Linked DNA regions of Styela clava. The protein of the gene in region 1 purifies or fractionates together with the protein of each later gene. This does not show direct contact. Links are inferred from orthologs where the notes say so. Each region holds a gene or a part of one and is shown on either strand. Other genes may lie near its edges.

Evidence for each region.
Region 2: the proteins of eukaryotic translation initiation factor 3 subunit F-like (region 1) and eukaryotic translation initiation factor 4E-like purify together in Homo sapiens (affinity purification with mass spectrometry; 3 studies listed by BioGRID and IntAct, with this or other methods). This does not show direct contact. The link is inferred for Styela clava from reciprocal best matches to the Homo sapiens genes EIF3F and EIF4E.

The regions. Positions count from the first base shown.
Region 1 is NC_135253.1:21,922,486-21,929,586, reverse strand, and holds the start of eukaryotic translation initiation factor 3 subunit F-like, read left to right. Parts: upstream 1-4,076; 5' UTR 4,077-4,126; coding exon 4,127-4,235; intron 4,236-5,334; coding exon 5,335-5,485; intron 5,486-5,774; coding exon 5,775-5,918; intron 5,919-6,845; coding exon 6,846-6,954; intron 6,955-7,101. Other genes in the region: rRNA 2'-O-methyltransferase fibrillarin-like, read right to left, coding at 1-87, 1,472-1,629, 2,816-2,977, 3,591-3,603. UniProt on the Homo sapiens protein: Component of the eukaryotic translation initiation factor 3 (eIF-3) complex, which is required for several steps in the initiation of protein synthesis.
Region 2 is NC_135260.1:20,083,954-20,091,289, forward strand, and holds the start of eukaryotic translation initiation factor 4E-like, read right to left. Parts: upstream 3,002-7,336; 5' UTR 2,943-3,001; coding exon 2,806-2,942; intron 2,532-2,805; coding exon 2,436-2,531; intron 1,804-2,435; coding exon 1,740-1,803; intron 806-1,739; coding exon 692-805; intron 221-691; coding exon 81-220; intron 1-80. UniProt on the Homo sapiens protein: Acts in the cytoplasm to initiate and regulate protein synthesis and is required in the nucleus for export of a subset of mRNAs from the nucleus to the cytoplasm which promotes processes such as RNA capping, processing and splicing.

The DNA.
Region 1 (7,101 bases):
AATGTGGCCGATTCCTCCTAGAACTGCTGCAGCAAGTTTTGATCGATATGGATTCCACGCTCTGTATTCAATCTTTATGCCATCATTCTGTAATTATATAGTTGAAGTTGAGTGAATATCGTTCTTCCATAAAAAACAAGAAAGTGATATACAGAGTGTCAATATAGCCTTTTTTAAAACTGCAAAGGGAATTTGTCGATGCCATATATTGTTTTGGCACTGACAGGTGTGTTAAATTGAATTGAGAACTGATTTCCTAACAAAATTAAAATTGTAAAGGGACTTTATAGAGCAGGGGTCGGGAACCTTTTTGGTCAAGAGAGCCATAAAATATACATATTTTCAATTGCATTTCCATGCGAGCCATATAACATTTCTTCACTTAATCAGGCCTGAAATGTTTACTCAAAAGTCAACACATACAATGTCAATATACATTTAATGTGATTTCTGATGCTGCATGTAGTCGCTGCGGGCCTTGAACGGTTGCTCACATGCAGCACAAGTTGAAATCTAAGATACTCATCACCCTTTTTCGTTTAGGCATCTCCGTAGTGTTTTTAAAACTATATCGCTTTGTGAAGTCACAATATATGTTCCAGATTCCCCTTGTTTGTCACAATGCCTGTCTGGTAATTATCTTACACAACATAGACATGTGCTGGACGCGCGTTCTCAAGCGTACTGGGAATTTCCTGCCAAATTTGGCTATAAAAGAGTTTGAAATCTCGTAACAATAGTAAGCTTAGTCTTGGAACATTAGATTTTTCTGGGAGCCATATGCCGTCACCAAAAGAGCCATATATGGCTCGCGAGCCATGGGTTCCCGACCCCTGTTATAGAGTATAGACGCTCTGTATAAAACATGTGTTAAAAAAAGTTTCCTCTTAACTATCATGGTCCTTCATCCAAACGTATCAACATGTTTACACACTCCAGTTAATTGGATTTACATATTTATCCTGGGAAAGAGAAAAGCCGATAAGATGGTTTAACCATATGCCAAACCAGGGCCTTTTGTCCGGTTACCAGTTTATGTTGAGTATGGAATTAGTTAGCCAGTTACTTGTTTTCGGAAGTATGGTAGTTCGTAAGTTATTTTATAGATATTTTTGTGGGTCTTGTTTTAATGAGAAAAACCGAGAATTTACATTTCATTGAATTACATTGGATACTGCTTGTAATAACATCCAGAACACACCATGGTCGTGTATTTTGAGTGACTAACCAGTGAGCTATTTTCATACCTGACTTGGGCTGAAAAGATATAGTTTTTCTCATTATTAAATCAACCTATTGGCTTTCCCATGATAAAATCACCTCTTTAAAATCGACCAAAGCAACTTCGCAATTTTTTTTTTAACTGCGAAACACCATAGTACTCCTAACTTCCTTACAGGGAACACTGTTCCCCAAGATAAATCATATTTAATCGAATATATTCATAAAAAAAACATTCAATTTCACGAACCTCAACTTCCACTTTCTTTTCTCCATAGACGGTGTTCCCGGGTACAAGATTTTTCGTCAACAAAGCGTCATCTTTTCCTCTAGCTACGAATATTCCTGGATGCTTATGGGGTTCAACAACCGTTGACCTTCCACCTCTGAACCCTCCTCCACCTCGACCTGCCATGAATAAAGTCAACTTCAATGTAATATCACAGAAAATGCCATCACATGGCACAAACAGAAAAATTAAATCAAGCAAATGCTGCAATAATGACTTCAGTAAAATTTGCTAGAGAACAGCAGTACAAGCACTTTCACGTTAGAAGTTCCAGTGGCTCTTGGCATTTCAGAGGTCGGTTGCAACTTTGCTCAAAAATTAGTCTGCTTTACTTCTGATTGAGTGGGCGTAGTTCTTGGCAGGAGTGTACCCAGGTGGGTTTAGGGGTCGGAACCCCACACTTTTGTGAAAAAAGGATTTTTCTGTGTTATACATGAAAATTTTTCCTATCCTCAAAACGTTTTTTTAGACATTTAAGTCTCTTGAAAACCCACATTACTGCTTCCAGCCGGACCCGCCAGCTGTCTAACTCAAGTGCAGTTTCAAGTATTTTGTGGCGTCTACAGCTGCCGCAAAACCATGGCGGGATTTCCAAACCACGGCCACTAAGACCAAACCCACGGCGACTGACTTTTTAGCTGCCACAAACCAATAGCGAGCTGCCGTGGTTACGGCAGCAAATCGAATACCACCAATTTTAATGCCGTAACCACGGCAGGTCGGCTGTAATAGCAGGGCTGCCCCTAATCTGCTGATGGTGATAAATATTTGGTGAGTTGGAATGTTTTTCTTATGGATACAGTTTGGATGGATTTGGGGTTAGGGTTAGGGTTTAAGTAGATATAATTTCGCATGATAAACTAAAATATGGTACATGAATTTGTAAATATACCCGTAATAGCGCCATAAAACCATGGCAGGAGACGGCGTGGTACGTTCGTGGCAGGAGCTGCCATGAAGTGGTAAGAACTGCGCCTCGTCTAACTTGGCAATTAGAAATTTCAGAACTCCCTCTTAAAAATTCTTCTGTTGTCGTTCGTAACTCTGATCAAAGAGGAGTATCCTTCATATTCAAGTGACTATAAGTGTCTTTGCTTTGGACAAAAATGTGATGTGAAAATGAATGCTTTGAGTGCTTAATAACGCCAAACAAATCTTTTATGCGTCACACAGACTTTAATGTTAATTACATTAAAATTTCACATCACATTTTTGTTTGGAGTTATTTGAGCAGTTGCGGCGTTCACTTAACTACACCCCAAAATCCTGTAAAAATAACATTGATAAAGAGTAAGTCCAACTTACCACGGGGTCCTCCTCTACCCCCGCCTCGGCCACCAAATCCGCCACGCCCACCTCCGCCAAATCCACCACGCCCACCTCCACCTCTGCCACCGAATCCGCCTCTGCCGCCCCCTCTTCCTCCTCCTCTAAAACCCCCTCTGCCGCCACCTCTTGGTGAAAAACCTGAAAAAAATGAATAAAAGAAAGTTTTAAACAATAAATATGAGATGAACCCGAGAAACTTAGAAGCACAAAATAAAATTGAAAGATTCAACGTACTTTTGATAAGGATAGGATTTACATATTTACCTAGAGAGCGAAAAGCCAATAAGACGACTTAAACATATGAGCATAAATAACAAGTGGAAACCTATCAAATATTCTTGTGACACATAATGTTCAGATGTTACTCTATTATGCTTACTTAAACAAACAACACATCACTGCTGTACCGTAAAAGCGCCCAACTTCGGACAGTTCCTAACTTCGGACAAAATTTTTGAACGGCCATATCTTGGATAAAACGCGCCGTATATTGCTAATTTTAATTATTATAGGTTGCGCTGTTATATTACCGTACCACATAGGTATAAGTTTATATCGACAGAATAATCAGCATAACTGGCGAAAAATGATTGATAAAAACAAATAAATAAAACTGATCGCAGAATCAGGAACGCTAACAAAACCTTAAGTAAGGTTTACCTTCAATTTATGAAAATATCACACAAGTGTTGAGCCAGCATAATTAATATACAAAATACTATATTTATATTAAACACATCAAATAACTCACCAGGTCTCCCCATTTAGAAGATAGCACAAAATCCTTGATAAAGTTCAGTAAGTCACAACGCGAATGCAAACCAAGAGCTAACGAAACTTTAACAGCGCAAATGCAGCCAAGAGACCAGCGTGAACAACACACGTGCAATGGTAAGAGTCACTCAGTCGTATCATTTTGCTATATACGTCATGTTTCGTGATGTAATTTTGAGGGTACGTTATGAATTAAATATTTAAAAATATAGATAAAATTATAATAAATATATTTATATGTTTGTTTTATCTTTATATAATTTTTTCAATAGCTGGAGATAAATGATTTTTGTATAGTTGAACACGGAACCACAACCGATAGTTTCCTGAGTAATTCACTTGCATACAGTTACAAGCCGAATCCCAGGTTTTTGAGTTCACGCCTCGAGTATTCGAAAAATACCTGTTAAATCTTACAAATCTTATCTATTTATGATTTTAAAAGATTTTAATATTGTGCTAATTTACATATTTTCCATCAGATAACTCTTAGTACATTATAATATTATAAAAATGTCGGAAAATCGGCGGGTCTGCGTTCACCCTGTGGTTTTATTCACCATTATTGACAGTTTCGAAAGGAGGAAAGAAGATGCAAAAAGAGTAGTAGGAACACTTTTAGGTAAGAATTGTAAAATTAGTGCTTTTTAATTGTAATTTAGTTATGTGACAATATTAATTCATTAGTAATATTCATTTGTGCTTTTTTTCTGCAAGTTTGATTTTGTTCTTGTGCAATCATGAGTATTTCAAAAGGAAATCAACCTATAAACAAGTCACTGGACAAGCAGAGATCTAGAGAGCTCCTTTTAACTTTTCAATTTTAAATATTTTTATTTTAATTGCTTCAATTAATTTTATGAATACTTCAAATGGCTTCTTCGTCAATTCGATTATAATATTAAAGTATTCATATTTCTTTTTTCACTCGTATCGTGAATATTTTAACTTCATAATCAGCATACAAAACGAAGAAATAATTGATAAAAACAAAACAAAAACGAACAGAATAAAGGTTGGAAAAAGGAAAACATTAAAACTTACAGAATCAAAATATAAAAGTGATGGTAGAGGAAATGGCTTTACTGACAGTAGCATTTTATGTTGCTCTCATTTCCTATCACATTGCTGATTTCTCTATGTCAGGGATGGCGAACCACTTACCCGCGGGTGACAAAGTGACCCACCGCGTTTTATTCTTGACCCGCCGAGGAACGAATAAAATAAAAAAAATGCTAACATATCAGTGATAAAAGTTGATGAAAATGGCTTTCAATTATTCCAACAATAACTAAACTATTATAATGTACCGTCAGTTGGCAGTCAGGGCTGCGATCGCTCATATTCAAATTGTTAATTTTCGGGTCGGTATGGTAATTTTCCAAACTCCTAATCTTGTACGGTATCTTGTTTTTGGTAATTCGTACTCTAATTTCATAAAATAGGGTGTCATAAAAAGTCCCTGATAGAAGAAGTGCTGCATAAGTAAAGCCCAAAACTTCACCAACACAAACAGAAGCTTAGGTTCAGGAGTTTCTTATAGATACAAACATTGCTTAAATATCTGTGACCCACTCTCTTCTGTTCCGCGATAAAAATATAATTTTTGACCTATTCATTGAAAAAGGTTCGCTACCCTTGCCCTATGTCTAGGTTAAATCTTGTTGGAGAAAAATATGTCATGACATGAGCTCATCAAATCTTATCCTAACTTCTTCCAGGTACTGTTGATGCAAACGCAGTTACAGTCACGAATGCTTTCTGTGTTCCTCACACAGAATCAGACGATGAAGTCGCATTTGACATGGAGTACGCCAAGAATATGTACGACCTTCATAGGAAGGTCAATACAAATGAAGTGATCGTTGGATGGTAAGAACAGTTTTCCACATTTGGTTTGTTCCCAAGCACACTTCTCAGATTTCAAGGATGTCCTCAGGAGAATATTTATATAACATAAAAATTAAATTTTTTTTTCAACGGGGCATCTGGTAAGACGACAGACGCATTAAAAATGACGATTTCGCAGTCTTTAAAAATAACTGCGAAGGTGTCACTCACATATCGCAAAAAAAGTGCGCTAATAGTGAACACTGCGGTGCATGATACCAATAATAATAACATTTTTTATCAATAAACACTTCTATTTATTCTTCACCAGGTACGCGACTGGGCATGACATTACCGAACACTCTGTACTTATCCACGAGTATTATACGAAAGAAAGTAAAAATAAAATGCCAGTTCATCTCACTGTTGATACAACACTGACTAACGGAGAACTTGGATTCAAAGCATACATAAGGTGGGGAGTAATGAATAATAAAAAAAATTTCATGAGAATTTTTTCAAGGCAAGGTAATAATGCACTCCCACTCAGAGGTAAAAAAGATTTGGTTCTGAGTGAAGTTGCCTTGAGCTACTGTAAGTCTGAAACTATGTAGATTTATTCATTATAGGTTAGTAAAAGCTGATTGACGAGACTTTAAGCTGTTTAAATCAGGGTTGTCCAAACTCAGGCCCGCGGGCCACATGTGGCCGGCCGCTGCATTATCTGTGGCCCGCGCCGGAATCAGAGGGTAATCAAAAAATCGCATTTGGTGTTGTTTTGCCATAAAGTTAATCAGAAAAATCTTTTAACATATTGTTACATCACTGATGTGACTAGTGTTATGGCACTTTTTTCCAGTACACCTGTAGTATGCGTCACAATAATAGCGGACAACGGAACGTGGTATGTGTACCAGGTTAGGGTTAGGCCATAATTTTATTCCAATTTTCTATATTTTAGTTATATTACTAGTTCTGGGACTAGCTATTTGTACGTGAAATTATGGTCTGACTCCAACCTGTTACACAAACTACGTTCCTGTGTCCGCCATCTTGATTCACATACTACAGGAGTACCATTTTCCGTCGAAATCTTACACTAAATGTAGATATAAAAAGACTTATGCAGGTTTTTTTTGGTGGTTTTTGCATATTTTAGCTTGACAAAAGACAAATACTGACAAGTACTTGTTTTGTATTGCACTGTTTACCTATTCTTGGCACTATTTGTGGCCCGCGAATAATGCTAAAATAATTTTGTGGCCCTCGGAGTTGACAACCTTGGACCACCCTGGTTTAAATCTAAAAGTATGATCAAGGTTGAACACAATTTTATATCAATTAGGTGCCAATTTAAGTGATCCTGGAATACAATAATATATATCTTTTCTTTTTACACAAGCTCACCCATTGGAGTCCCAGGCAAAACCCAAGGAATGATGTTCACACCCGTTGATGTGAAATTACTTCAATACGATGCAGAGAGGGTTGGAGTCGACAGAATTCAAACTGTAAGTATTTATGACTCCTTGCACCACCCAGATCTACGCATCTGCAATAATCAACTTACTGAAACTGCAAGACCCTAGTACTCACCAGGCGAGATTAATGTCTTCATAGGATCTTTATTTGTACAATTTAGTTCAAAGCAAGATACA
Region 2 (7,336 bases), on another chromosome or scaffold:
TATTTCTGTTTTCACACAACAATATCAAAAACGAACAACAGAAAACACTTCAAAACTTTGAGAAAACTAAAGCCACATACCCTATTTTAAGAATCACATCACGTCTATGGCAATCTGATGTCCATACAGCAATCTTGTCTCCCTTGTTTCTGACTTGAACTACTGCACCATTAACAAAATCTGATTCTGCTTCAAAAGATTCTCCAATCATACAGAGGATCTTGAGAAAAAGATAATTTATCACATCATTATTATGAGTATATCAAAAACTTTCTATTATTAATGAAATGTGCTTAAAAAACCAGGACCACAAAATGTCTTTCAAAAGCAAAAGCAATATGTTAAATTTTGCGGTAGGATAGTTGAGGATTATCATGTCTATAAAAATATAGAGAAAAGATGACAATACAGCATATCATATAGTGAACCACAGCTTTTCATCCGGTTACCAGTCCAAGCAAGGTTTGTAACATAAAATATCAAAAATTTATATAGGATAGATTTTATATTAATTTATATTGGGAATTAGAAATCTGGAGAATAATTACGGTATATGGTTAGGAGCTGTACACTGAAATTTCTGATAGTCCCAGCTCCAGTTCTAACCACCCATACAAAAACCCCAGATAAAAAATCGTAAATGACAATAGGATTTACAACTTATTATACTATATTTACAAGCCAAACTTACAGTTTCAAGCCACATTCTATCTAATTCTTGATATCTCTGTGTTTTGTTCAACTGAAACAACCATCGTCCACCATTTTTATTTGCTTCATCTTCCCACATAGGCTGCACCCCATCCTGCATACAGTGCACATATTGTAGAGATTAGGAAAAATTACAAACAACTTCATGAAATTATTGTGATAAAAATTCATTTTAGAAATTCAGGCTATCAAGAGAAAGAATTACTTATTTGATTTATATTCTGACTTTTTGCACTTCACATCTGTGTTAGACAAATTAGCACTATGCTTTCGAAACACTGGACAGGGCATTACACACTCTCTTACGCCCTGATATGCTGGAGGGCCAGAGATATTCAACCTGAGATACCAATAGGTAGATCCAATGTCAAAAACGCTATAATGCTGTACATTATAATAATAGTAATATGCTGCACAATTTGAAAGCTGGAAACATTGAAAAAAAAAAGGCGCCCCAAAAGTGTGTGAACCAATATGGAGGTATCTAATTTTGTTCACCTATTTTACATCAAGTTGTTAAAGGGACTGACAGCTATGGACTGGGGGGGTATAATCACTTGGCTAACACACACATTCCCCGAACTCATAATAGATAGAGCTAAAATAAGGAAAATTGGAATAAAATTATGGCCTAAACCTGGTACACACACTATGGGAGTACCGAAAAAAAACATAGCATTCCTGCAGGAACCCGCAGTTGAACTAAAAGTACTGCAAGTAATAACAACATAAAACAAAGGTTGAGATAACTTCAAACTTTAACATTAACAACTAACAAGGGAAGTTAGTCAAGCATTAACCAAAACCAACCAACACATAACTAAAGTCGCCCACACATTTAGAATTAGACTATGAGCAATGATAAATGAACATTTTCAGTAAGCATTCAGTTAAACCACAACCCCCAAGAGCCTTGTAATAGGTTCAATGTTTAAAAATGTTCTCAACGTTACAAAAGAGTCACAGCAGGATTACTGAGCAGATATATAGATATCAAAATGATATCAGTAGTATGACAATAACCATACCTTGAATAGACAATAGTCGCAGCCACTTTGCAGCTTACTAGAAAGTTGAATATGATTATAGATTCTGAAAATAGAAAACATTTGTGGTATAAAACAACTGATAACAAATATTATAACCATTTTGTTTTGTATTTTCATGGGGGAATCGCCAATACTGAGTTGTCCCATAAATTATTTAATACAGAATGACAATTCTTGCTCCAGCTATAAGCCTACAGAAGAAGGCAAGAATTACTAGAGCTATACACACTTTGTGTACTTTTACATCAGCTTGCATGTAGTACAGCAGCGAATTAAGATTCTTTTATGTTTATTAGTATGTCTTTACATGAGGTTTTGATCCTCATGAATATGTCTTTAAATGAGAAAAACTACACAAGTTAGTGCATCAATGAAATAAAGAAGGAAATATCAAAGAGAGACATTGCCAATTGATATTTGAGACAGAAAAAAACTATTTTGAATAAATAATCTTACCGGATAAAGGATAAACACTTAATGAAAATATACCAAGTAAAGATTATTCACATACTCAAATTTATTTTTGAAGTCTCTTGATTCAAATATTTCATTATAAAGCTTTGTTTTTGTATCCATAAAATTCTATATTCACCAAATATCAATAAAGTAACGCTGAGTAGGAATTCTTATCACAGAAAAAGTCTTGGCTAGAAAATGTAATAAAACAATACTTACGCCCAAAAATCTTCTACAGTGTCAAATTTAGTTACTAATCTTAAATTATCTTCCCATTTTTTGCTTCTATCATTTTTGAAAAACCAGAGTGCCCATCTAAAAAAACAGAATCATTACAAATGTATACTTGATCAAAGATCATTGTATTGGAAATTTCGTACACTTAACATAATGGTGACTAAAAATGTAATTCACTATTCCAAACAAATTTTAAAATTCTTCAGACTTTCGAATATTTTCTAATCATGCCATGAAAGCACAAAAAAGTCATTGTAGTCTATATTCAATAAGTACGCATACAAATTGTGCATAAAAATTAGGACAAAATATATCATTTGATTTCCTGAATTGTATAAGCAGCACAACATACCTGCTTTGCAGTGGGTGTTTGATAGCAGTTTCATCTTCTACAGTAACTTCTTTTGAATCACCTTTCTCTTGCTCTTTGGTTGCTTCTGGTTTTGCCGGTTCACCAGAGCTTTTAATATCAGCTTTCTTTTCGGACATAGTAAACTAGTTTTCAAAGTTATATTATTTGATGCTATCCTAAAAAATATCAGTTGGTAATCAATGGTGCGTTTTGTAGATTGCGCTTCATTTTAGTTTATTGTGCAGTGCCAGTTGGAGACCCGGACTGTCTCGTAAAGGAGGGGTTCACACTAAATCTTATAATTGATATCTTTCCAAATTCTAAGAATGTCCCTCATTTGGTTCAATAAAACAAACACTCCATGTGTCTCACAAACCAAAGGTGTCTGGCACGCAGCAGATGCGTCATGCTTGTCTCGATAATGATCTAAATTAATCCCAGCCGTCACATGACCAAAATTGCCGTTTTTTGCTCAAAACTCTCGAATGCCACGGTAGATATTTTTTCCATCGGTAAATGGGAATATTTTTTCCCCGAGGAATTCAATGATGACATTTTTAGATTGCCCTTCCTTGTGGTTTTTTGCTCAAATTCAATTTACTATATTTTAACTGATATTGGGGGACAACTATCGAACCATGTGCAGACGTCCCCCAGAGAAGCCGAAGGGGTGTCTAATGATCAGTAAAATGGGTCTCTATGAAACGAGACAATGTCGCTCGATCTGTATAGTGTGGTGTACTGTAGTATGGAGGCTATTCTTGTAATCCAATATTCAGAGAACTGTGCCGAACTAATTTAAGTAATTCGCAATAGTCTAGTACCGTACCGGTACTGAGTACAAGTTTTTCTAGGAAAACTACTTTTAGAAGCTCAAAGCAGTTCTCATCCTACAGTCCTACTGTAGACTACAGACCTTGCTTTGAACAAACTTATTAAAAAATATCTACAGATCAAAGGGATTTTCTTACCTAAAAATGATACAGTATCCATGCATATTAAGGATAAGGATAAGATTTACATATTTATCCTGGAGGAGAGGAAAGCCGATTTGACGGCTTAACCATATAGCGAAGCGAACCACGTCCTCTCGTCCGGTTACCATTCCATGTCGAGTACCGGTATGGGATTAGTTAGGTATTTGTTTTTCCGAAGCATGGACTTGATGGTCGAGGAAGCCGTAACCGACTAGCGGTTAGGTGAACCACCCAACGGTGGCAAGGAGTCCTGCAATCCTCTCGCACATAACCATGAAGCATGGGATTCAAACCTGCGAACACACGCAGAGTAATTAGAGGTGCGTAGCGAGCGTACCGTATTCCTAACGCTTAGCACGATGAGCTACACCGCCTTCTGGCCTTACTGCAGTACTGTATTACGGTAATGTACCATATTACATGACCCAAGTTCAATGACGTACAGGTACTGTAAATGTTTGTTGCGCGACTGCCTGAATTACAGCACAGGTAATCTACCGAATTACAGAATTAATTCAGTAATTACCGGTACCGTACCGTAGCGGCACGGGTACCGGTACCGTATCATTACTGCATTACATGAATTAATTCAGTAATTGTTGGGATAAAATATCGTCTTACTTCATTCTCTCTTCAATCCTCACCAGTTTCAAACAACTAACATTAATAGTTTCCAAAACCTTAAACTTAAAGGCCAGTTAACTCAACCGATTGTAATTAAACTGTGTAATACTGCAATAACAGGCAAAGCATAGAAGTGAATAGAAATAAAACAGCATGTAATGTCACGTGACCCGGTATTCTGGTATCGGTTTTTTCTCGAGAAATGCACTTCTGTCTGGTACATTGCCGTGAGATGTAGCCAAGTAGTAGTAGAAGTAAATCAGTGAATGTTTGCATCGAAGCCTTTACGACATACCTGTGTGAAAGTGCTTTTGCAATTTTTTGTTAAATCGTGAATATATCCTAATAATGTAATAAATTTTATATTCAATAATAACGGTAATCATTCACCTGGCTGATATCTCTTATTGGACACGTTTAGTGGCCATAACGATCGTTTCAATATTATGTTGTTGTTGTTCTTTGACACGTTTTTAAAAAATCGCTTTTCTCTTCGAATACTGGACCAATTGCTTTGAAATTTTCAGTGGTTAAAGAATAATTTCTTCGCTAGAAGGCTATTACTTTTATTTATTTCAAAATTTTGCGTGAATTCTATGAAATTTGATATTTCGTCTAAAATTTTGCTGTATTATTTTTTATCCATGGGAACACGGATTTTAGTCAGTGTCATGACTGGCTGTACGTTTTGATTCTGCAAAATTCTTGCTACTGGAAATTCAGAACTTTTTTGAGGGTACCGGTAGCGTCAAAGGTACCGGTAAAGACTGATTCGCTCTGGTCTAACGTGTCCATATATTTGTGCGTAGCTCTTTTGTTTGAATAACGCTGCTAATCTGGAGAACAAAATCGGGGGTATTTTAGGCACAAAAACACTTATTGACGGGTCTACTGCATTTGCATTATCAAGACGTCATATGACAAACCAGGAGTCACTTGTTCGCTAATTCCGCATCAACATTCAGTATAACAAAACACAGATCAACAGGTGTGATTCGCTTCGGCACTGTTTACTTTACATACACGTAAAATGACCAACGAAGTTCTTGTCGAAATATTCAAAATACTATATCGGGAAATATTCAATGACGTTGGGCCTCACGTTTAACAGATCACAATGCTTGTTGTGATTCACAACAGAATCTAAACGCACATAATGGTACACTTTGGTAAAGTAACATTCGAGAGTATGTTCGCTTTGAACATAATAACGCTCAAATATCAAAACGCTTCGCGCAGTTTTGTGGTACAAATGATTATTTGTTTATTCATATATAGTTTATTTTATTTCTCCCGAGATTATTTCATTACAATTGGGTATTCAATGTTCATGAAAGGCGACCAACAATTGTGATTTTTTTTCACTGTAGGCCTACAACGGAGTCACCAGAATTGTTATTCAGTTATCTCATACTATCAGCCTACCCTCTTCACAAGCTAACACTAAGCTGTTTTCCTGGCAATATAATATTAGAATGTTTAAAGTACAGTATCATATTATCCACTGGCGTCTTTCTTCAAATAGGGAACATTAAACCTCTGGGAAGCTAGCAGCAAAAAACGAAATTAAGACTGACAGAATCGCAGAAAATACCCACGCGTAAAATTTAATGTTCCCAATGATTTGTCTTGTTAAAATATGGTAAACAAGCATAAAAAAGGAAATGCCGGATTGAAGAAAGCAAAGAAAACGGAGGAGGGACGGTTTTAAAATTTCGAATGAAAAATATAATCATAAAAATTGTAAGCAGAAGCAAATGAATTTCTATCAGAAACTCAAAATTATGTCAATATTTATGGCGATTTTGGTGTTTTTCAAAGCCCAGCAGCATGTGGTTCCGGTCAAGAGGGGGTTGATTTTATTATTTTAAATTAAAGATATAGTCATATAGATTATAAGCAAAGTTTAATGAATTTCAACAAAAACTTATAAATTTTTGAATTTTTCGATTGAATTTCGATAATCTGACGCAAAATTGACGTAACTCATATATGGCGATTTTGGTGATTTTCAAAGCCCAGCAGCATGTGTTTCAGGTCAAGAGGGGATTGATTTTATTATTTTAAATTAAAGATAAAGTCATACAAATTGTAAGCAAAGTTTAATGAATTCCAACAAAAACTTGGAATTATGTGAATTTTCCGATTGACTTTTGATAATCTGCCGCAAAATTGACATAACTCATATATGGCGATTTTAGTGATTTTCAAAGCCCAGCAGCATGTGTTTCCGGTCAAGAGGGGGTTGATTTTCTTATTTTGAATTAAAGATATAGTCAAACAAATTGTAAGCAAAGTTTAATGAATTTCAACAAAAACTTGGAATTATGTGAATTTTCCGATTGACTTTTGATAATCTGACGCAAAATTTACATAACTCATATATGGCGATTTTAGTGATTTTCAAAACCCAGCAGCATGTGTTTCCGGTCAAGAGGGGGTTGATTTTATTATTTTAAATTAAAGATAAAGTCATACAAATTGTAAGCAAAGTTTAATGAATTTCAACAAAAACTTGGAATTATGTGAATTTTTCGATTGACTTTTGATAATCTGACGCAAAATTTACATAACTTATATATGGCGATTTTCAAAACCCAGCAGCATGTGGTTCCGGTCAAGAGGGGGTTGATTTTATTATTTTAACTTAAAGATATAGGCATACAGATTGTAAGCAAAGTTTAATGAATTTCAACAAAAACTTTGAATTATGTGAATTTTCCGATTGACTTTTGAAAATCTGACGTAAAATTGACGTAACTCATATATGGCGATTTTGGTGATTTTCAAAACCCAGCAGCATGTGTTTCCGGTCAAGAGGGGGTTGATTTTATTATTTTAAATTAAAGATAAAGTCATACAAATTGTAAGCAAAGTTTAATGAATTCCAACAAAAACTTGGAATTATGTGAATTTTCCGATTGACTTTT